Linked DNA regions of Rattus norvegicus. The protein of the gene in region 5 binds, or shares a complex with, the protein of the main gene of each other region. Links are inferred from orthologs where the notes say so. Each region holds a gene or a part of one and is shown on either strand. Other genes may lie near its edges.

Region 1 (3,687 bases), on a different chromosome or scaffold from region 5:
TTCCTTACATTACCTGTCACATCAGGTAGCTGGGATATCCCCCTCAGTGCCAGTGCCCAGGCAAGTCTAACAGTGGCCTGCAGCCCAGGTAGCTTCCAAGGCTGGGAGTCCTGGAGGCGAGAGTGAATTGTGGCAATGTACTGTCTCTCTGTCAACAGGGGAAGGTGGTGAATCATATCTGAAAACACAAAACTAGACCACGTCAGCAAAAAACAGCAGAAATAAATTCTTACTTCTGTCATACATGGATATCTAAAAGTCAAAGACATAGCATTTTCAAAAAGAATAATGACTAATCAACATTATTATTGACATAGCAGAAATCTGTATTACTGTTAAGTATTAAATGCACAAAAACTGAAAAGACAACCAAAAATTTTAGTTAACAACTTTCAATAAGTTTCATAGACAGCAGAAATTAGAAAAAAGAAGCACTCACTGTTTTTTTCTATATAGGGATTCTAAATTATAAATAAATGCTCTCTTATGATAAAATAAATCATCTCCCCACATACAAAAATACTATGTCAAAAAGAAAATAGAAATTCAGTGTTTTCCCAAGTTTTTAAAATGTGAATTAAGGGGGTTGGGGATTTAGCTCAGTGGTAGAGCACTTGCCTAGCAAGCGCAAGGCCCTGGGTTCGGTCCCCAGCTCCAAAAAAAAAAAAAAAAAGTGAATTAAAGTAGCTACAGTAAAGTCAGGCATGTGCACTCATGAACACACTGCTGTCTATCCTGTAAAACCGTCATTTCAAATCTCATAAGAAACTAACTGCACAGGAACAAAGTCGAGCATGGTAGTGCTCACCTTTAACCCCATCATTTGGGAGGGCAGAGGCAGGCAGATCTCTGCGTGTTCAAGGCTAGCCTGATCAACATAGTAAGTTCTAGGACAGCTAGAGCTAAACAGAGAAACTGTTTCAAAAAAATCAAACAAAAAACAAAAACAAAAACCCACCAAGGCTAATTTCCTGTCATTTCTATTAGGAAGCAAACTCAAGACCTCAAGTATGGTAAGCAATTCTCTATTACTGAGTTTTGACCTCAGTCTTAAATTAAATCACACATTTAAAATGTTTCAACTTGCCTGAATTACACAGACAGAAAAAAAAAAAAAAAAAAGAAAAAAATTTGTATTTTGGAAGTTAAAATATCGTCCTTCTTGAATGTTCCCTCGCAATTTAAAATTTTATATTTAAAAATAAAAGTATTGGTGGTTGTGTTAGCACATGTTGGGTATGTTAGCATATGCCTATAATCCCAGCACTCAGAAGACTAGAATAGGAAGCTCAAGAGTTTGAGGCCAAACCAGCAAAATGGCTCAGTGGGTAACAGTGCTTGCTATCAAACCTGGCAACCTAAGTTTACCTCCTGAAGTCATATAGTAGAAGGAGGCAATTGATCCCGAAAGTTGTCTTTTGGTGTGTGTGACACACACACACAGGCACACACACGCACGCACAAATAAATAAATGTAACTAAAAAAAATTAGTCCGAGGCCAACTTAAACCACACAGTGAGACTCTAAGAAAAAAAAGCATTAAAAATATATATGTTGAAGCTGGAGAGACGGCTCAGCAGTTAAAAACACTGGCTGCTCTTCCAGAGGTCCTGGGTTCAATTCCCAGCATTTACATGGCAGCTCTCATCCATCTACAATGCCAGTTCCAGGGGGTGTGACACCTTCACACAGACATACACACAAGCAAAACACAAATGTGCATAAAATAAATATAAGTAAATAATTTTTAAAAAGATATAAATGTAAAACTCAATACCATCTCGTTCCTCTGTGCTTTGTTCTATAAAGCTGGTATCAAAACAGTACAGAAGAGCCATGAGGAGAGCCAGATTTACTGCATCCAGGGAGCCGTTGGCCTCGACTGTCACTCTTTCTAAATGTCCAATAAGCAGGAGGGTGTCATCTTTAGCTAACGGTGACTGGCAAGCCCAAGCAAAAAGACTTTCAGCCAGAGACTGCCTGCACTCCTTGATGAGATCAGAAACCTACAAGTAACAACACAATTGTGACATAAGTTATAGCAAAGTCTGGCATTACAAAATATAGAGTGTCTTCCATAAAGTCTAACAAAATTAACTATCTGAATCCACAGGTGCTCCTAAAATTGCTGAAATTCTGAACAAATTCTAGGGTTTAGTCCTTAAGAAACCATGCTGACCAATTGCTTGAACAACTCATTCCAGAAAGAACTAGATACATAAACAGGCACGGCAACTGGAACAAATGCAAGCTAGTCCCATGAGCAGAACAGTGTACACTTTCCACAGGGGTGGCTGCTCATGCTTTGCATTCTAGAGGCAGTGGATCTCTAAGTTGGAGGCTAGCCTGGTCTAGATAGCAAGTTCTGGACCAGTCTACTACTACACAGTGAGGCCCCACCTCCAAAAACAAGTTACAATGATGATGAAACACAGTGTTTTCATCCGCCTAAGTGAAATGAATATTCTGTTACGACTTCAGTTCCACATTTGACAAAGACACCCATGAGTTCATCTTATAGAAGCCTTGCCTCTTTGCGGTGTTTCTCACTGCCCAAACCTCTGTCTCTCTGTAGTTTCTCAAATTCATTATTCACATCAATCTGTGACACCAAAGTAAGGACTTTGTAAGTCAATCCTTGTTCCATCAGCTCATCTGTAAAGCGTGTTGTCATGGAAACCAGCTCTGGACTGCAAGGAAAAGAAATAAACAAAGCTACAGTGAATAAAAATACTGTTTTGACAACAGCCAACAACAGCCTATTACTGCAAACAACAAGGATGAATTATAATCTTGTGCTTTTTACCCTTTCTAAATCACTGGAGTTAAATAAACCTTTGTGATTTTTCACTTGCAAATAAGTCATGTTTAAACTAATGTACAACTCTGGAAAGAGCATTCTAGTATATTACTGACATGAGATCACAGTTTACTATATACACTAAGAATTATTTCCAAAATTCAAATTCAAGTAATTTTACTTTAACCCTGTAAGTCCCCGAAGGCAAACAGACCTGAGTTCTAATGTCCATGTCTTCCCTCGTCTAGACTGTATTAGGGTTTTGAGAGAGTTTGCAATGCACCGCTTTCCATCCCAGTATAAAAGGACAGCTACCAATCCTCTGGTGAGGCCAGGGAAATGTGGTTGCTGATGTTCTCCTAGAAAAGGAATTGATTGTTTAATAATAAAGCTCAAATGTGTTCAAAGAGTATGCCAAAATTCATTCAAATCTGCAGGTCTCAACATAAAGGGGACCCTGAGGATCTCTACTCCCTGTATCATTCCTGGCATAGCAGACTCAAAAGGCCGACCAACCATACACCAGGATCAACCCCATTAATAAGACAAGAAGCCCAGTCACACTGTGGTAGCACAAGCCTTTAATCCCAGCACTCAGGAAGCAGTGGCAGGTGGATCTCTGAGTTCAGAGCCAGCTTGGTCTACAGAGTGAGTTCCAGGGCAGGGCAGGGCAGGGTTACACATAGAAACACTGTCTCAACTAAACAAATAAAGAATAAGGGATTCATCACTTTCCCAACTGGATTTCACTTATCTGATTTGCTAGTCGGGCCCACTCTATCTCCACTGGTATGAACTCTTGCAAATGTCTGCAAGTTCCCTCCTTTCAGGGTCATTCTCTTCTACTCTGCACTGCCTCCAGTCAAAACCATTCCATGTCTCTCTT
Region 2 (3,687 bases), on a different chromosome or scaffold from region 5:
AAGATAATTCAGTGGGAAAAAGCTCTTTTGACCAGTGTGAGGACCTGAGTTCATAAAACCACAGGCAGCAAATATCTGGTAATCCCCCTGCTCCCATAACAAACCGGGAGGCATAGATGAGAATTCCCAGCAGTTACCAGCCAGCTAGCCTGGCATGAACACAGCAAACAACAGAGATCCTGTATCAAACAAAGAGGAAGACAAAGATCAATGCCTGATGCTGTCCAATGGTCTCCACACATGTGACCACAATCACATACTAGAAAAAAAATCCCTATTAATGAAATATAAGTTTTAAACTTTAAAATACAATAAACATAATGAGAAATTGTAACTGGAAACAAGTAAGTCAAAGTATTAAGTCCCCAAGGCTGGAAAGATGGCTGCCTTGTTAAGAGTACTGGCTGCTGTTGCAGGAGGGCTGAGTTCAGTCAGTTCCCAACCTTAGATGGTGGTTCACAACTATCCATGGCTCCAATTTGAAGGACTGCAACGCCCTCTTCAAACCTCCATGGGCATTGCATGTGTGTGGTGCAAAGAAATAACACGCAGTCAAAGCACCCCTACACATAAAAGTTTATAAAGCCCTACATTCCAATTAAAGGAGCAAGTAAGTTGAACATCTTAGAAGGTGGTGAAAGCCTAAAATGATTTAGCTTGGATGAAATCAATTTTAAGAAGACTGAAACGGGATGTTCCAACTCAAAAAGTAGCTAAAATAAATAAATAAAATGAGCAATCTCTAGACAGAAAGTCAATTTAACCAATCTTCAATTAGTCTCTATGTTCTATATCTAAACAATACCTAGAGATCAATTCTTTTTCAAATTTACCTACTTCTGTGTGTGTTTGTGTGTGTGCACATGTAAACACACACATGTGGCGGTTAACCAACAACCCGCAGACTCAGACCTCCTATTCCACCATGGGAACGGATGAAACTAAAGTCACCAGATTGGCAGCAGCACCTCTACCCAGAGCTACCTCACCAGTCCAAGAACTCATCCTAATTAATAGGAAAATAATAAAAGACAAACCTAAATGGTCACAAAACACATACAAAAGATTCCTCCTTCCCATGAAACAAGACGCAAAATAAAGCCCGGGTGACTTTTTTTCTAGCTATCACACTAGAAATGGACCAAAACCAAATGCTAGTAAGGAAAAATTTTAAAAATTAAGATCCATCTATGATCACATGGAGTGTTGTGAAGAGAATAATAGCCAAGACCAACAACACATTTAAAGACATGTCAAATCCTGTAGTCCAAAAACCTCATTCCTGGTAAATATCCTCCAGACCAAACTGCACATGGCAAAGGAGAAGTGTATCAATATTCACCTTAGCACATACTGGGGATCAGCCCAAATGTACCCTGATGAGAGAATGGACTAATTGTAGTAAATCTGCACAAAGGATAAACAGCAGAGAAATGTAAATTCCATTGTTCCATTAAACATGAACCATCGCAGAGAGAGTACACAGTGTTAATCGTATGTACACTTGAGAAACAAGCAAAACCCGAAGGCAGCAACCAGAGAATCCAATAATGTCGATGGGAATTATCTCACATACAAAAATACATAAAATAAAAAGGTGGAGGGGTTTTTTAAAGTTATTTTACCCAATTCGTGAAGTTGAGGCCTCTGGGCTGGGTATTAGAGCAATGGTCGAAAGGATGGTTTCAATGGTCGATACTCTTCACTCCAAATCTTCAAGCCCCATTCCTATAGGCCTTACTTCACCCCGACCCTCTCAAAGTTCTATAAAATGTGAGCCTACCTCCTCCTCTGAAGGTTTAGAAGCAACAAAATGTGTTGTTCTCTCTCTTCTCATCTTGCCACCTCCACCACCTACTCCAGAAGATAAACCATTGGCTGCAGGAATACTGAAATTGGGGTATGAAAAGCCACTAGCAAACAAAAAAAAGAAAATTAGAACAATTTCAATATTTTGTTGCAGAAACTGTTAAATATTCAAACACCAGATCAGCTAACAAAACAATTAGGGTATAGCCAAATATACTTTGAAATTTCTTCTGCATTTATTTATGTATTCATACATTCATGGGCATGTAAGCACACATGATCTTAGTATGGGCAGCTTGTGAAGGTTAGTGGGAAAGCTCTTGGCAGTCAGGTCTCTCCTTCCACTACGTGGGACTAAACACAGGTTTCAGGTTTGGTAGAGTACCCTGACCTGCTGAGCATCTCGCTCACCACCTAAGTATACGTTTCAATTTTCTTTATCTTCAAGGCTATTGTAAATATGAACCCTACAAATATAAAGAAATCCATTTGCAGTATATGATGACATTACCTTTCTTGCTCTCTATTTTGTCTTGAGATATTTTTTTCATCTACAGTCTGAAAGAAAAAAATAGTATGAGGATTTTATTTAAAAAATGACAATTATTTGGGGAGTGGGGTAATAATGAGGAGTGCCTCGAACTCCGTATACAGCTCAGACTGAACTTGAGATCTAGTTCCCGCTGCCTCCACCCATCAAGTGCAGAGATCACAGGTGAGCATTTCTGGCTTAGTTTTTTTTTTCAGTGCTGTGATTAACTCAGCCTTATCAAATGCAAGGCAAGTACTTCCACCACTGAAAGCTACATCCATAGATTCAAACTCTCTTAACATCCTTTTACTTATAAATTTTATTATTTGAAATTAAAAATTTGATTTTCTAATGGCCTTGGTATATGTAATTTAGACATTGTGTTTGAATGCTAACCAAAGGTCACAACTGCACTGTGCACTGTAATATGAGCATATATACAAAATGTCACACATCTACTAGTCCAAAGGTCACACTGACTTTTAGGGGACAACTTTCCTTTTTGCTGTACTAAATGATAGACAACTTTACAAGGACAGAATCTGAGATATAAAGTACTCCCAACTCATCAGAACTATCAGAGAACCAGAAATGTACAAGATTCGGAATTACCTTGCAATATAAAAAAATAAGATACCCAAAACTGATGGGGCATAATAAAAGGACACAGAATCCATTCAAAGGCAAATACAGGGGAAGATAAGCATCAAAGAAGCAACTCTAAAATTAAGGATTCAGTTAAACACAGAAAATTCTCTACAGCAAAGGGCCAATCAATAGATGGAAAAAGAACAATAGAACTAAAAGTCTACCACAGTGCAATCAAAAACAGCTTGAGGCAAAAATTCTCAATAATGCTAATGGGATCAAAAATAGACAGGAGAGGGCTGGAGAGATGGCTCAGTGGTTAAGAGCACTGACAGCTCTTCCAGAGGTCCTCAGTTCAATTCCCAGCAACCAGGGTGGTTCACAATCATCTGTAATGGGATCTAATGCCCTCTTCTGGTGTGCCTGAAGACAGTGACAGTGTACTTATTATATACATAAAATAAAAAATAAATCTTTAAAAAAAAAAAAAAACAGGATAAGTTCCACTTGAGCCCTAAGATGAGCTCAACCCTCCTTCAGTGGATAACCAGGAATAACCAGAATCTAGACCCACCCAGGACAATCTCTTAGCGCTGTGCATTCTATACAGTAACTAACTCGTCTTTTCAAAAATATTCTAGATTAATGAAGACAAAGACAGATGACAACTACATGTCACGGTCTTGATGATGTCTGTCAGTATTTAACATCTAAATAAAATTTATAGTTTTGTGCAGCACCAAGATTCTCTTCTTGGG
Region 3 (3,687 bases), on a different chromosome or scaffold from region 5:
TGGAATCACCCTTTAACATTCCAGGAAATGCCAAGGGGTTAAAACAAGCATTCTAACACTAATAGAAAATCTCAAGTACCTACAATGCTCTAAGATGACCAAAATCCGGAGTGGTTGCCATTTTACCACTGTAATCAAAGGGGATGGTGTGCTGTGGTCGCATCAATGCCAACTAAGACCTAAATACTCACGGAGCTGAGCACTCTGCCCGGAGGACTTTAAAAGCAGCTTTAGCTCAAACAGCACCAGGGCCACATGGACAGCATGGCAGCGCAGCCGCTCCATGCGGAAGAGAAAGGCAATGGCAGCTTCAAACTGTGCAGTCAGGAACAGCACTTGGAAGTAGAGGAAGGGCTGCTGGTTCACCGTGAAGTGGGACTCGCCTGCGGAGAGAAGGCAAAACCTACTCAGAGGGAAGCCGCCTCCAGCGTCTGACCCACCCTGGGTATCTACTGGCCTTGCTGGGTGAGAGAGAGCAGCAACATGAGCCTAAGGGACCCTGCACACTAAACTACATGAAGCCAGGCATGGTGGCCCAGACCTCTAACACTTTTAGTCACAGCTACAGAAAGACAGAGACAGGCGCATCTCTGTGGATTCAAGGCCATTTCTGACGTACAAACTGAGATCCACAACTGCCAGAGAAAAACACTGGCTTAAAATAAACAAAGCAACACGACCCAGTCCCTCTACTTCTCTGGGCCTCATTCATGGTTGGCAAGCGGGGTTCTGTTACAAAAATCTAAGCTGCTTGCATTAGAGAGGAGAGAAACAGAGATGTTGAAGCGACAGAGGCAGAAACTGCCAAGCTGAGGTACAGTTGGAGTCACCGAACCCTGCACTGAGGGCAAAGGGAGAGCTACTCCTCTCTGTAATCGAATGTGACTAGCAAGATCTACGAGGGAGCAACTGAGACCCCATTCACATCTCTCCCAAGCAAGAACTAGGATCATGTTTATGGTCTATGACTGTGGAAGCCGCACGTTTCTCTTTTCTTTTGGCCAAAGATCAAACTCAAGGTCTCTGGAATGTGAGGCAAATACTTCGGTCCTGAGCTACAGCCCCAGACCCTTTTATTCTTATTCTGAGACCAAAAAAATGTCAAACTCACTCTGTAGCCTAGGCTGGCCTTGAACTCAGGATATTCCTGCCTCAGTCTCCCAAGTATCCAAGTGATGTATATGTCTCAATGCATAACAGTCTGTGCCTGATTGAAAATGGTAAGCCCCAAAAGAAGATGGCAATCGTCCAGGGTCTTACCATAGTCCTCTAGCAGCTGCTTCTGGAACTGTGAGAGAGTGAGCCTGTCTTGTGGCGAGCTGGTGCCGTCATCATCGAAACACACCTGGTTCAGCTAAAGCCCCAAAGGAAACAAACACACTGGTACAAACTACATCCTCACCACATCAGAGCTGCCTGCCCAGAGGCTGGCTCTGTGCTGTGATCTGGAGGCTGCACAGCACACTGTGGTTCTGGGTTGGCTTGTGTGTTAGTAGAGCATGACTGAGACCCTAGATGCCATCCCGAGCAATACAAAAGGGGAAGGGAAGTGGGGGAAGAGGAGGGAAGGAAAGAAGGAAAAGAAAGCTAACTGTAGTTATTAGCTGGAAATCACACAATAAAAAAATAGGGCCAACTAGACACAAAACCCACTGGCCCTGTCTTGAGCCCCACACAAACGTCATGCACTATGAGGGCAGAGTATAGAGAACTTGGGCAGCCACAGGACACTGTGCCTACTTTTAACCACAGGTAGTCCTCGGTCTTGTCTGCTACTTCGCTCTGGTTGTCGGTGATGTCGCATCTCCCAATGATACAGTACACAGCTCGCTTGTAGGGGTCTGTGTTGTTCCTGAGGGCTCTGCGGTAGTGAAGCCGGAGTTTGTTCTCAGTAGCTGGAGACAATCTGAAGACACAGAGAGACACAGACTCAGCGAAGACTCAAAGGTGGAGTGCAAGCATGCCCAGAACACTCTGGAAGCTCTCCTTCATCCTTCATCCTGAGCGCAGGGCCTGCCTGCCTCATCCACCACGTTCACCGCCGTCTAACTACTAGCACCACATGCTTTGGCCCATCAGTCTTCTCAAGTCCTGAGACCTCCTTGGGAAGATGGGGAATGCTACGGGTCAGTATTCTACCCTACTCAGCATTCCTCCAGCAGTGACAGAGCAGTCCTTCCCTAATCGTCTTACAGTTTGTTTATCTGAATGCACATATGTGTGCAGTAGAGGATAGAGGCAGAGGTGCTGTTTTTCTGATATAGTATGTCTACTGGTCTGGAGCTTGCCAATTAGGTTAGGCTGACTTGCCAGAGTCCCAGAAATCCTTCTTTCTTCATCTCATCATGCGGAGATCACAAGCTAGTGCTACCATGCCTAACAAGGTTCTGGAATTGAACTCAGGTTTGCACAGCAAGCACTTTTACCCACTGAGATTGCTCTCCAACCTCCTCTCCTCCTTCAACTGTCATAAGCCCTTGGGTCCCCACCTTCCCTTATTCACATGGGATCACCTCCCAAATAATGGACTTGCACCCAAATCTTTGGCTCAGGATCTCCTTCTGAGTTGGGTGCTAATGCTGCCTCCACTCCAGTGGTGATCAAACACAGGGCTCCGTGCATGCTGGACAAGCAGAGGCTCTACTTCTGAGCTAATCTTTAGCCCTAACCCTACTTTAATCTATATGAGCGAATCTGAGACAACCTCTTCAAGTGGCAGTATTACCCCTTGAATATTTGCTTTCCCAGGACCCACTGGAGTGAGCATCACATTTCCTCTATAAGTGCATACATACAACTGGGCTTGGTGAGTCCAATTACATAAGCGCAATCCCAACTCTGCTTAGCAGGCCCTTAGTTCAGGAAAGCTTCTCAGGGCCGTGGTAAACATCCCAATGCTAACTTCACACGGACTAAATTCTAGCTCTAACTTGAAGCATAAAGCACACACATCCACACGGACTGAACAAACCAATGTCTAACACAAAAAGTCTCATTCTATTTCAGTTATTATTTTAGTGGTTTTGGAGACAAGGTGTTAAAATGTAGTCTAGGCTACCTTTGAACTCACAAACTGATGTGTCAGACTCCTGACTGCCGGGATTACAGACACACACCAACACTTTTGGCCAAAACGTTGTATTTTACAAAGCAATCAATCTGAGCCGAGAGGGTGTTCCACACAGTGCTCCACTGACAGGAAACTCACTAAATGCAGTCTACGACTGCAGCAAAGCAGGGCACTCACTGTACCTTCTATCCTTGCTGTTCATGTATTCCTGGAACCAGGTTTTAAATTCCCCCAGCTGGTGCTGGGCTCGACTGACGACTTGTGATGCAGCAAGCAGGTCTCCACAGCGCATGCAGTAATAAATTAACGCCCAGACCGGATGGCCTTCTACCTCTCCATCCTAAAAGACAAAACACACAGTCAAATAAGAGCTAACCAACCCCTTTCTGATGTGTGGACACCCAGCTAAGGCATTTAATTCCCACCATAACCCCATGAGTTAAGAGCCACCGATTGTATCCTACTCCCTGTGTTTTGCAAACACACTAAGTTGTCCAGGGGAAACTGGGAGTGGCAATGTAGCATGGATCTGGAGTCACTGAAATGTGAACAGAGCTTACCTGTGTGTTCTCTCTTAGCCAGCAATGATGGGATCTCCTTCCTCTTCTTTTTTTTTT
Region 4 (4,487 bases), on a different chromosome or scaffold from region 5:
CCATCTGTGATGGTCAATGACAACGAATAGCTAAGACACTGGACAGGAAGAACTCATGCTATGTGGAGGAGGGGAGCAGCAGCAAGAGAACAGTGGGTTAGGGAATGAGCTAAAGGAGGACCTCAAGACTGAGGCCAAAGCTTCAAAGTCTATTATTACTTTTAAATAGTCTATCATCTCGCTACATAGATTCTACCCCTATAATGTTAAAACTACTAAATGAACTTTTAAGGGTACTTAAAGAGATCAAAATGTGATCCTTCTTACTAGGCTGAACGTGAGAAATGTGTTCATAACCAATTTCCCCTTCCCTCTTTACTAGTAATTAAAGCCTTGGGTAGGACATTTTCCTTCTGCACGTAGCAACATTAGGCATCAGACAATTTATATCCTTTGTAACAGAGAAGAGTGTACTCTAAGAGTGTGCTAGTATTATCTTAAAAATTAAAAGTCAATCTCAAATGTCTGAGCAAAGTCAATGATCTCTCCATTTCAAAACTGTCAGTAAGAGTTCTCGCCCTAAAATCTTGAGGACCAGAGTTCAAATCCCCATCACTCATGTAAAGACAGGCATAGTTGTGGAGACAGCAGCGATCCCCAGAGTTCACTCTCAAGTGCTGAACTTCCAACTCAGGGAAATAGCCTGTCTCAAGGCAGTGGAGTAGAGTGATGGAAGATACACAGGCCCTATTCTGCCCACCACATGATACACAAGGGGATGTACAGGCCAGCAGGGGCACATGCATATGCCAAAAAATTTTGTTTTGTTAAAAATCTGAGCTATATCATCACACAGAAGAAAACAACTGTAGGAAGAACATGCTAAGAACTGTCCCTTTACTGGGTGAATGGAAAAGTTAGACTTCCCATCAAGATGCACTCTTACACTTAAATACAAGGTTCTAGAAGCCATACTCCATTTTTACTCCGTTTTCTTGTAGCACCTGTGGGTGGGCACTACAAACAGCCTCACAGTTCTGAAACAAGCTTCTAAAGTAGACTTTAAAGCAACAGGCACAAACGCAATTGAGTTAAACAAAAATGGATCTTAAATACCCTGTTACCTTTAATTCATGATAATCTATGGCTTGGTCTTTGTCGGTATCAAACAGTTCAAAAGCATCTTTAATTTCTTGCTTCTGTTCTTCAGAGAGTTCTCTTCGTTTTTTCCTTTTTGTTTTGTCTACTACAAGCTCACCTCTAGGACACAGAAAAATGCCTTTAGTCTACTTTAACCCAACTTAGGACAAAGAATCATTTTCTAAATTTCAACAGAGTAGTCTGGCACATAAAGAAACTGAGCCTAAGTTAACGTCCTGTAGTCCAAATGTACTTTTATAACCGAAATCCTAATCAAAGTTGAAAGCATCATACATATTATTCCTGTCATCTACCAAGAACATAAAAATAACCAAAAAAAAAAAACATACAAAAGTGAAATTCACAAATGACAACCAACTCACAATTACTACAAAAATCATCCATAAAACTTAAAAGATTACTTTAGCATTCTAAGTCCAAAATGTTTTTAGATTATACATTTCTAACAGTGCTTTGTGGTTTTATTCCACTGATATTAGCCAGGCAAACTATTAAAGGGCCTAAACATGCAAATACTAGGCGCCCAGAATCGCAGCATCTAATACTCGTGCTTAAGTCCACGACGTGATGTTTAAAAGTGTTTTAACTCTCACTTAACATGTAAACGATAGGTTAGACGTCTTCATTTAAAAACTCTGAAGTTTAAAGGAAATCTAAAAAGGGCACTTGGATCTGAAAATGTCTGCCTTAAGAGCTGCCAATGCAAAAAGCAGTCCAAATGTTTAAACGAGGATACGACACAACACGTGTATCAGCACGTTTTAAAAGATGGAAGCTTTAAAACCTCAAAATCTTAAAACTCGGCTGACTGTAACAGCGTCTCGTCAGGAACGCCCTCCGGGTGGACCAGACGTGGGAGATCAGTGCTGAGCGGGTGACGGTGGCAGCCAGGAATCTTTCTCACGTGACCCCAGCTCACACACACACACACACACACACACACACCCCCAGGCTAATGCGCGGTCACACACACACACACACACACACACACACACACTCGCCACACACCCACCCCAGGCTAATGCGCGGACACACACACACACACACACACTCGCCACACACCCACCCCAGGCTAATGCGCGGACACACACACACACACACACACTCGCCACACACCCACCCCAGGCTAATGCGCGGTCACACACACACACACACACACACACACACTCGCCACACACCCACCCCAGGCTAATGCGCGGACACACACACACACACACACACACACACACTCGCCACACACCCACCCCAGGCTAATGCGCGGTCCGGGGGCGCCTTTAAGTGTAGATGGACAGGGTGAGGAGCCAATGGGGAGGGGGGATGTCCGGAAGTGACTGGAGGGTGTCACGGAAACGAGATCCACCCAGGACGCCCAAAGCACAGCGTGCCACGGGACCCGGGCAGAAAGGCGAGCTCTCCTGTGACTTTCCGGAGGAAGCAGGCGGCCAGGCCCGAAACCCGCAGATGCGTGAGGGAAACCTCGCGAGACTTCACTCGGGGAGCGGCGCTGTGGGAGGCGGGGACCGCCGAGGTCTGATGCTCGGCACTCCTCGTCCGCTCCCGACTCGGCCTCCCTTCCACGCCCTCCCTGGCCCCTCTGGGGAACGGAGGCGCGGCCTCCTCGTTACCGACCTCAGAGCTAAACTCATTTTCTCTTCCGACAGAGGTGTTCCGCTCAAGGACTTTACCACGAGAACCGCTCAACAGCCACCAACCTCCACGGCCTCGGGGACCACCCACCTGACAGAAGTTTCTGGGTGCGATTGGCCGAAATTGCCAACAGCCGGCCCATTGGGGCGGAAGCGTCGATTGTCTTCTGTTTCCATTGGTCAGCATTCATGTCAGTCAAGTACACATTTCGCCCTGCTGTCTGTCTGACCCCTTGGATTGGCCAGATGCTTTCCTGAATCCTTTGCGCGCCTGTTAAGTCACCACGCGGGGTTCAGGCAGGCAAGGCTAGGCTCTACGGGTGACATGGTGCTGGAGTTCCGAGCACGCGTGCACAGCGTCGACCGAAGGAAGGGGAAGAAGGCACGGCACAAGCAGCCTGCTCAGACGGAGCAGTGATTGAGGAACCAGGTCTACAAAAAGATGTACAATTCTGGGTGGCTGGTACACCCGAGAAACTTAAATCTAAAGGTGATGTTCTCCAATCTTAGTTCAGTAACGACCAAGCTAAGCATTCTTCCCCGTACAGCTTTCCCAAGTGATTTTAAGGCAGACTGGATTAGTCTTTTCATTTTGTTGTTTTGTTAGGTCATGTACAGTGAGACTACCTAAACCATCCTTTTCTTCTGTGCGACTTGCAATGTATTTGTTTGCTTCTGCTCTTCACTTTCTAGTGCTGTAAACCTTGTGTGTGCATTCTATCTCCACTCCCCACCAAGCCTCTTGAAGCTTACTTCGATCACCAAGCTGCTAGACCGACTGTCCTCAAGGCCACAATTCCGTTTACACGAATATTTGTACCAAATGAAATATCTGGAACTTAGGTGTTCCATAAATACTTGATGCGTAAAACGAAGTCTTATTGTGGAAAACTTGGAAACTCCTGAGCTAACCAAGCAGTTCTTATAGGCATAAATACAATAAACTGGGGCTAGGTGTTAGAAAAGGGAAATACTATATCTAAATTTGTATGTGAAGGAAGGACACTGGGTAATTGGCTGTGTATGAGTTAAGCCTGGAGTGTAGATAGAAATTTGACTAGAGAGTTGGGATAGAACTAAAAAGTAATAGCTAAATGGTAGCATTCCCAAAACCAAAGTAGAGAAATGAAGAACTTGCTGGGCGTGGTGCTACATACTTTTAATCCCAGCACCCAATAGACATACAATCGGATCTCTGAGTTCTTTACATTGTGAATTCCAGGCCAGCCAGGACTAGTAGTGAGACTCTGCCTAAAATATAAAATTAAGTACTTTTATTTCTTAAATATTTAATGTTAACTATTTAGTGCACAGATATGAAGTTAAGTTAAACATTGTACAATTACCAGTGATTCATAAGTGACTGTTCTGGAGGCTGTACATAGATCATAGTGGTATGATAGGTAGAATAATAGCTAAGGCTACATCTTGGTATCCTGAAACCATAAATATGGTACCTAATAGGGGAAAAGATGTCTACGAGTCAAATTAGAATCCACACCTTGAGATATAATGTTAAAATGGGTCATGAGAGGGAACAGAGTCTAATCACAATGTCTAATTCTGACGAGTACAGGACTTTTACCCACCTGTGATCAGAGCCAGAAAAGACTTGTTAAGGCTCAGTCTGTTATCATGGTTTTGAAAACAGAGATGTAGAGAAGCATTCCCCTGAGTCATGGATGCTAGAAGCCGAAATCGAACAGTGAAGAATAATGATGTCCCTGGAAGCAGGAGTGA
Region 5 (3,687 bases):
AAGCATCAATCAAGAAACGTAACTCACGATTTAACAGCTACTGGATTGGGCAGGAATCCGTATTCCATAGACTCGGCAACCTGATGATTTTCCAGTTCATGAGAGCCATGCAGTTGTTCTCCACTATTTGCAAGAGTCCAGTTGGGACCCCAGCCAACCCGAAATGAACGTCCCATGAATAAGGCCATGTCCATCAAGAGTTTTCCCTTGCCATATGTAATGGATTTTTCAAGAGGGACTAGGCCTGGTTGCCTGCGTATCCCCACTGTTTTTAGGGGAACTTCAGGGGCTGGGCTGGGCACTGTGAACACAGTGGCCAGGGGTAGAGGGACAGACCAGGGGGATGTGGATGGGACGTTCATTAGAGATGATGTTCTGGGTGTGCGACATTCTTGCACGGAGGCACTTGGTGAAAGAAAAGTTCCACTTGCAAATTTTGATTGGAGCAACCCACCAACTGAAACAAGGAGGAAAAGACACTTAACAACCCAGTTTGCTTCTTCGCTAAAGATGAAAATTTTCAGACAGATTTTTATAATAATCACTTTTCTTTGAAGACAAGTAGCCTAAGTCCTATGAAGACCAGGCTAGCCTCAAGATTATTCCTCCTGAGTGCTAGGATCAAAGGTGTGCACTAGTTGTTTTTCCAGATAAGATTATTCTGTATAACCTGGCTGTCTTGGGACTCACCATGTAGACCAGGTGGGCCTTGAACTCTGCCTCCTGAGTGCAGGATTAAAAGTGTGTGCCACAATATTTATATAAAAATTTTAAATTATGTATATGTTTGTGGGTATGTCAACAGGACTGTAGCTGCCTGTGGATGCCAGGTGTCCCACGTTCTGGAAGCTGGAGTTACAGGTGGGTGTAAGCTGCCTGATGTGGGTGCTAGGAACCAAACTTGTGCTTTCTCTAAGAGCAGTATAAGCTCCCTACCACTCAGCCATCTCTTCAGTCCACAATAATCACCTTTTCAGCTACGAAATCAAAGCAAGGACTTTAATGATTTTATAAAGGAGAAACAAAAACAAGAATCTTCAAGGATTAACAACAATATTAAAGACAATTATGTGTACACTTCACTTTTCAGTAACATTGATCGGGAAGTGTTATTGCTGCTCACATTAAAACTGAGGAAACTGGGCTTAAAAAGGGGGCCTTTCTAAGTCCATGGCACTATCAAGTGACGAGACTGGGTAAAACTGTTCCTAAGGGTCATATCCTTACTGAAATCCTATATGCAATAAAACTATCTTTAAAATGATGGATGCAACTGGAGACAGCAATTTACAGAGAACTAGATCAGTTCCAAAAATACAAATATTGCATGTTTTCTCTAATTTATGGGTCTTAGATATTGCACTTTCCTGATATTATTTATGTACTAATGACATGAAAGTAGAAGAAAACTTGTATGGGGACCAAGAAAAAGGAAAGGGTAAAGTAAGTAGCTATAGGGGATGGAGACTGAGCTAAAAGGACATTGTAACGGCTAGAGAGAAGGCAGCCCATCAGTTAAAAGCACTTCTTACTCTTGCAGAGGACCTGAATTTGATACCCAGTGCACACATGGTGGCTCACAACTTTACTTTCAAGAAATTTGACACTTTCTGACTTTTATAGGCACTGCATGTACCTGCCTTACATACTTGCATGCAGAGAAAAAAAATCAATACACAGATAAATCTAAAAATTTTGAGGATATTATATTTGCACAAATATAGCCTTATATATAAGTAAAATACAAAAACAGCTGGGGGTGGTGGCACATGTCTTTAATCTCAGCATTCTGGAGGAAGAGGCAGGCAGTGAGTCTGGGGTCAGGCTACACAGAGACCCTGTTTTGAAAACCCAACCACAAAAACCCCAAAATAAACAAAAACCCGAACAAAATAAAACCACAAAACTCAGATAGATTAAAACTGAAGTCCTGGGCTGGAGAGGTGGCTCAGCGGTTAAGAGCACTGACTGCTCTTCCAGAGGTCCTGAGTTCAAATCCCAGCAACCACATGGTGGCTCACAACCATCTGTAATGGGATCTGATGCCCTCTTCTGGTGTGTCTGAGGACAACTACAATGTACTTATATATAATAAATGAATAAAATCTTAAAAACAAACAAACAAACAAAAACAAACAACCCCCCCCCAAAAAAAAACCCCGAAGTCCTGACATTATGAACTTAAGGAGAGGTAAGAGGACAACTTTAGGGAGGTGGTTCACTCTCTTTACAAGGTGGGTCCTAAGAATCAAACTTGTATCTTTACCTGCTCAGCCTTCTTGCTGTTCCTTATTTACCTTTTCAGAAAACATTAACAAAATTTAGTTCTTCAGCTTTCAAAGTATTTTGAATTACAATTGCCTACTCACTGATATCAATACTCCACAACCTTTTTTTTTTGACATTTTTCAAGAAAAAAAAAAAAAGTTTTTCTGCCTGCATGCCCGTGCACCATGTGTATGTAGTATGTGAGGAGGCCAGAAGAGGGCACTGTGTATCATGGACTGGAGTCACAGATGGTGTTGAGAACCCAGACTCACTGGAGAGCAGTCAATACTCCTAACTGCTGAGCCATCATCTCTCCAGCCAGTACTCTATAAAGTATAATCTGCAATCCTAGTAAGAAAAGGGAAAGTTTTAAAATTTAATATGTGATTACCCCACAGGGGTTTTCAAAGGTTTAGGGAAAAGTAGATACTTGAAGTTTACTATCAAAAAAAGCAGTAAGATAATGTAAGGACTAAATAAAAGGAACATGGTCAACTTGTGGAATCTAAGTATTGTGGTAGAGTTTAGATTAGAGCTTACTATGTAATCCACACTCACAAGTGACTAAAACAGGGCTCTCACTCAATGAGACAACTTTAGGGAGGTGGTTTACAAGTGGTTTCCCAATAAAGAGGTACTTATGATGCTTAAAACCCTGCCATGTCAGCACTTTTACCTTTTCTGTTTTAAAATGTGTGTGCATGTGTGCATACATGGAAGTCAGTGGACAACTTCAGGAAGTAATTTCTCTCCTTCCACCATGTGGGTTCTAGAGATCATCAGTTCATCAGGCTTGATGGCAAGTACTTTTTATCAGCTAAGCTAATTCACTGACCCCACCCCCCTTTTTTAAGAAATTATTTAGTATGTATGCCTGAGTGCTTAAGTGTATGTATATGTATATACACCATGTGTGTGCCTGGTGGCCAGGAGGCCATAAGAGGGTGTCAGATCTCTTGAAAATGGAGAAGAGAGGGTTATTAGCTACCATATGGTTTCTGAGAACTAAACTGGAGTCTTCTGCAAGAACAAGTATTCTCAGCTGTTGAGCCAAGCTCCTTGGGTCCTGCTATGCTGTTCTGGGTAACCTCAAATTCACAGCAATCTCCCTGCCATAGATGGTAGGAAGAGGATAGTATGTATTTAAAAAAAAATTATGCCTATTGTTATAGTTTTCAGAGGTTCTGCTAAAGAAATCCATTCAGCTTAGAAGGAGAAATATGAAAAGCAGAATCGAGCTGACAGTGTCCTTGGAACCAGCACATTTTATACTGTACCTATGGAGCGGGATTTTGAGGAGTGGGAGGCTGAAATGGGGAGTCTAGGGGAGCAGATCTCCTGAGCAGTGTCTCCTCTGGAAGGGAAGTGACCGAAGCGCTGCTCCATGGCATCTACGTCTTCTTCATCCACAAGCAAGGA
Region 6 (3,687 bases), on a different chromosome or scaffold from region 5:
TATGAAACCCTGCCTACTCAGTCCCACTCTGTTTCCTCAACAGGCACTATTTCCAGCCTCACTGCCCTCAGCCCTCCCTCCTTTACTTTCTATCCTGTGGAGCCCCAGGGATACAGTTTAAGCGTGTCCTTTTGTTTCTCCTTGGTTCTTGTTACAGGAAGTTTTCCTAGTACACCACCTTCCCCTCAAGCTCCACAGAACCTTGACGCTCCAGCAACAGCCTCTTCGCCTCTTCCACCGGTGTCTGCTGCTCCCACCGCCACCTTCCCTTTGCCGTCTGCTGGAGGAGGCCCTTCTGTGTTCTCCTTTGGCCCTTCACCCTTCAAGTCCTCCTCCATCCCCGGGGAGCCCCCGCCATACCCCACTGGCTCTGACAGTTCCAGAGCAGCACCAGCCTCTGGCACCCCCACCTTCTCTTTTGCGCCTCCTTCCAAAGGCACCTTGGCCCCGACCCCTGCAGTGGCTCCTGTGCCCACATCTGCTGCTCCCTTCACTTTCGGATCATCAGGTTTTAAGCCCCCCTTGGAAAGCACACCTATGTCCAGTGCCCCAAACACAGGGATGAAGCCTTCATTCCCACCCTCAACTTCTTCGGTGAAAGTCAACCTGAACGAGAAGTAAGTCACCTTGAAAGACTGACTCCTCGGTAGACTGGGCCTCATAGTGCATGGTGGTCACTGAGCTAGCGTCACTCAAGTACAGTGCACAAAGTAGTTATGTCCCTTTCTTAGACTATAAAGATAGCAGTCTTCCTTATTTTACAAAGGGCAACAGCCCAGAGCATTCATCCAGGGAAGGAAATGGGTCTTTTGTAGCTTTTTCCTCCTCAGCTACTCTTGACACTCAGCTGGTTCTGTGCAGCCACCAAGGTGACTTGAATAGTTAGGGATACTTGAGGTGACGCTCCTGCTTGATGGTCCCCAAAGGTTTCTTGTTACGTTTCTTTACAATTCAAACCTTTTAGCGTGGTATCTGGTTTCCTCCACATTAGTTCCAGTCACCCTGCTCATCCCTTATTTATTTACCTCTTGATCTTTTTTTCTGTTCTCCCCACCACACTGAGCATCTAGAGGGAATGTTCCCCTGTATCGTGCAGCCTTTTCCAGTTGGAGCAAGTGTCAAAACCATGTTTTGGGGCCTCATTGCCAGGATGTCGTCCTATAGGCACACTGTCATTGCTCAGATTACATCCACACGTGGCTACTTCACACTAGCCACTTTTGGTATTCCATTTTGTTGGGCTGTCCATTTTTCACCGGAGCTTGTCTGCAGACCTTGCTTTGGTGGAGGTGACTTGACAGTCTTTCTAGACCATGATATCCCAGAGACAGCGACTCCCTGCCCTGAAACGATAATTCTCAGAACAAGGGCTCATGCTTTGTTGCGCCACCCCCTTAAAACAAAACACACACGCAAACCCATGTGACAGGGTAGAAAGTAGATCCTCCTACACTAAGTGCTTTGGCTGTGCTGTAGGTGGTGAGTAGATGTGATTGTGCCCTCCCATGAGTAAGCAGCATGAGTGCTGCTCTGAAAGTAGAGGAGACGGCCAGTCAGATTTTCTTGGCTCTCACTGCTCAGGCCCAGTGGGAAGGAACCCTCCAGCAGAGTGTTGTGACAGCCGCATTTCCGCTTCTAGGTTCACCGCTGTGGCCTCCTCTGCACCCGTTCATAGCTCCACAAGCATACCCTCCGTGTTGCCGTTCTCTTCCTCCCCCAAGCCACCAGCTTCTGGACCACTCAGCCATCCCACGCCTCTCCCAGCATCACCCAGCTCCATGCCTTTGAAACCTTCAGTCTCTCCCTCTCCGTCAGGTAATCTCTAAAGCCAACAGCTTCTGTCCTCAGCACACACGAACACCCTTTCAGATGATGGGTTCAGCAGGTTAAGAGTCCTTGCTAATGTACTGAGGCAAGGGTTTTTTGTTTGGTTTTTGTTTTTTGAGACAGGCTTTCTCAGTGTAGCCCTATCTGTCCTAGAACTCACTCTGTAGGCCAGGCTGTCCTGGAGCTCAGAGATCTGCCTGCCTTTGCCTTCTAGTGGATAAATGGTGGGGTCCACCACCGTCACTACCTGGCTAAGTTTTTTATTTTGTGGGATGGGGAGTGTGTTTGTGTGCTTGACTGTTTTAATGTGCTGTGATTGTGGTGCTCTGACTTGGAGATTCACAGTGGTTTCAGTTCTGCTAGCCTTTATTTGGGGCTCATGGAAATTCAAAGAAAGTGTCTTGTGCCTAGGCGCTGGCCCTCACACACAGCCAGTTACTGAGCTGCCCTTAAGCATGGAGGATAGGAGCCGTCCTTGGGACCCATGTGCTTACTGCTCCAGAGGCTCTGGATTACATTTTCCCATCAGCCACTCTGAACATGTGATGAAATGGGAATGGTTAGAGACAGGATTTAAGGCTCCCGAGACATCAGCCCAGCCTTTCCCTTCCTGTCACATGTCCAACTTAGTTGCAAAAATATAAATACTGTGCTTGTCATCAAGGTTCACTGCATCCTAAAAGTTTACATCTTTGCTTATCTCTTTCTTCCTTTTATGTAAAAATTTGAAAATATTTTAAGAGTTAGTTGCAGACATTGTGAAACACTTGATCTCTAGATCAAGGGTTCCCGTCTCCTAAAAGCCAAGGCCATTACACTCAAGAAATTAACAACCTTCAAATTTAGAGTCCATGTCATATTTCTCCAGTGGTCTCACAGCTGGGATTTTCCCCCCTTTCTTTTTCTGTTCATCTCATTAGTGTAGACGAGAAAACCAGCTCAGTGGTTTGGGGACCATCCCTATTGGGATTGGATTGTTTCCACATGATAGGATTCAGGTTAAAGATTTGGGGCAGCTACACCAGGTGCCTGATATTCTCATGCGTGCTTTTATTCAGTCTGACTGTAGAACTGTTTTGAGTTTGGACATTTGCTATATTTCTTTTCTTATGTGTATGTTTGTGCATGTGAGTGCAGTTACTTGTCTGGTCCCCTGGAACTGGAGTTACGAGCAGTAGCATAAAGAGACCGTGAACTTAAGCCTCCTGAGTACTGGGATTGTGGACATCACCAGGCCCAATTTGATCATCCTCCTTTAATACGGGTGGTAAAAGTAAAGCCAGGGACAGGGTATAACTCCCTTTCTTAGATTTGCGGAAAGATGTTTGTGGTGACAAAAGTAACAGGAACTGGTGTCTGCTGTAACTGACTGATGTCATTGCTCCTTTACTCTAGTTGGCCGCTCCGCCCAGACTGCCCCGAGTTCAGCACCCTCCACAGGGCAGAAATCTCCTAGGGTAAATCCTCCAGTGCCAAAGTCAGGGTCCTCTCAGGTATGTTGAAATTTCCTTAATATACTTGTGTGTTACTAACATGGGCCTTTGTGCTTTAGAATTCAGACATGAAAACAGTAATTATATCTGAATAGGAGACACTAAAGTCAGCATGTACTCATAAAAGCAATTATCTATTTACTTTTCTTTTTCCAGACATGGTCTCACTATGTAGTCCTAACAGGCCTGGAATTTACTCTAGACCAGGAGGCTGGCCTTGAACTTGAGAGAGATCCTCTACCTCCTGAGTTCTGGGATTAAAGGCATGTACCACCATGCCCAACCTCTGTTCAGTTTTTTGCTTTTTTTTTTTTTTTAAGGTTTATTTATTGTATGTATATGAGTATACTGTGACTGTCTTCATACA

Evidence for each region.
Region 1: Nup98 (region 5) and Nup205 share a complex: the UniProt entries of both Homo sapiens proteins name them as parts of the nuclear pore complex. The link is inferred for Rattus norvegicus from reciprocal best matches to the Homo sapiens genes NUP98 and NUP205.
Region 2: Nup98 (region 5) and Nup153 share a complex: the UniProt entries of both Homo sapiens proteins name them as parts of the nuclear pore complex. The link is inferred for Rattus norvegicus from reciprocal best matches to the Homo sapiens genes NUP98 and NUP153.
Region 3: Nup98 (region 5) and Nup93 share a complex: the UniProt entries of both Homo sapiens proteins name them as parts of the nuclear pore complex. The link is inferred for Rattus norvegicus from reciprocal best matches to the Homo sapiens genes NUP98 and NUP93.
Region 4: Nup98 (region 5) and Cetn3 share a complex: the UniProt entries of both Homo sapiens proteins name them as parts of the nuclear pore complex. The link is inferred for Rattus norvegicus from reciprocal best matches to the Homo sapiens genes NUP98 and CETN3.
Region 6: Nup98 (region 5) and Nup214 share a complex: the UniProt entries of both Homo sapiens proteins name them as parts of the nuclear pore complex. The link is inferred for Rattus norvegicus from reciprocal best matches to the Homo sapiens genes NUP98 and NUP214.

What each region holds. Positions count from the first base shown.
Region 1 is NC_086022.1:64,832,026-64,835,712, reverse strand, and holds part of Nup205 (nuclear pore complex protein Nup205), read right to left. Parts: intron 3,161-3,687; coding exon 3,016-3,160; intron 2,692-3,015; coding exon 2,532-2,691; intron 2,008-2,531; coding exon 1,779-2,007; intron 179-1,778; coding exon 14-178; intron 1-13. UniProt on the Homo sapiens protein: Plays a role in the nuclear pore complex (NPC) assembly and/or maintenance. May anchor NUP62 and other nucleoporins, but not NUP153 and TPR, to the NPC.
Region 2 is NC_086035.1:18,205,933-18,209,619, reverse strand, and holds part of Nup153 (nuclear pore complex protein Nup153), read right to left. Parts: intron 2,368-3,687; coding exon 2,321-2,367; intron 1,914-2,320; coding exon 1,784-1,913; intron 1-1,783. UniProt on the Homo sapiens protein: Component of the nuclear pore complex (NPC), a complex required for the trafficking across the nuclear envelope. Functions as a scaffolding element in the nuclear phase of the NPC essential for normal nucleocytoplasmic transport of proteins and mRNAs.
Region 3 is NC_086037.1:10,699,754-10,703,440, forward strand, and holds part of Nup93 (nuclear pore complex protein Nup93), read right to left. Parts: intron 3,411-3,687; coding exon 3,253-3,410; intron 1,907-3,252; coding exon 1,741-1,906; intron 1,355-1,740; coding exon 1,261-1,354; intron 384-1,260; coding exon 192-383; intron 1-191. UniProt on the Homo sapiens protein: Plays a role in the nuclear pore complex (NPC) assembly and/or maintenance. May anchor nucleoporins, but not NUP153 and TPR, to the NPC. During renal development, regulates podocyte migration and proliferation through SMAD4 signaling.
Region 4 is NC_086020.1:13,823,439-13,827,925, reverse strand, and holds the start of Cetn3 (centrin-3), read right to left. Parts: upstream 2,836-4,487; 5' UTR 2,748-2,835; coding exon 2,731-2,747; intron 1,201-2,730; coding exon 1,065-1,200; intron 1-1,064. UniProt on the Homo sapiens protein: Plays a fundamental role in microtubule-organizing center structure and function. As a component of the TREX-2 complex, involved in the export of mRNAs to the cytoplasm through the nuclear pores.
Region 5 is NC_086019.1:165,930,235-165,933,921, forward strand, and holds part of Nup98 (nuclear pore complex protein Nup98-Nup96 proprotein), read right to left. Parts: coding exon 3,546-3,687; intron 458-3,545; coding exon 28-457; intron 1-27. UniProt on the Homo sapiens protein: Plays a role in the nuclear pore complex (NPC) assembly and/or maintenance. NUP98 and NUP96 are involved in the bidirectional transport across the NPC. May anchor NUP153 and TPR to the NPC.
Region 6 is NC_086021.1:35,673,341-35,677,027, forward strand, and holds part of Nup214 (nuclear pore complex protein Nup214), read left to right. Parts: intron 1-157; coding exon 158-617; intron 618-1,639; coding exon 1,640-1,815; intron 1,816-3,222; coding exon 3,223-3,320; intron 3,321-3,687. UniProt on the Homo sapiens protein: Part of the nuclear pore complex. Has a critical role in nucleocytoplasmic transport.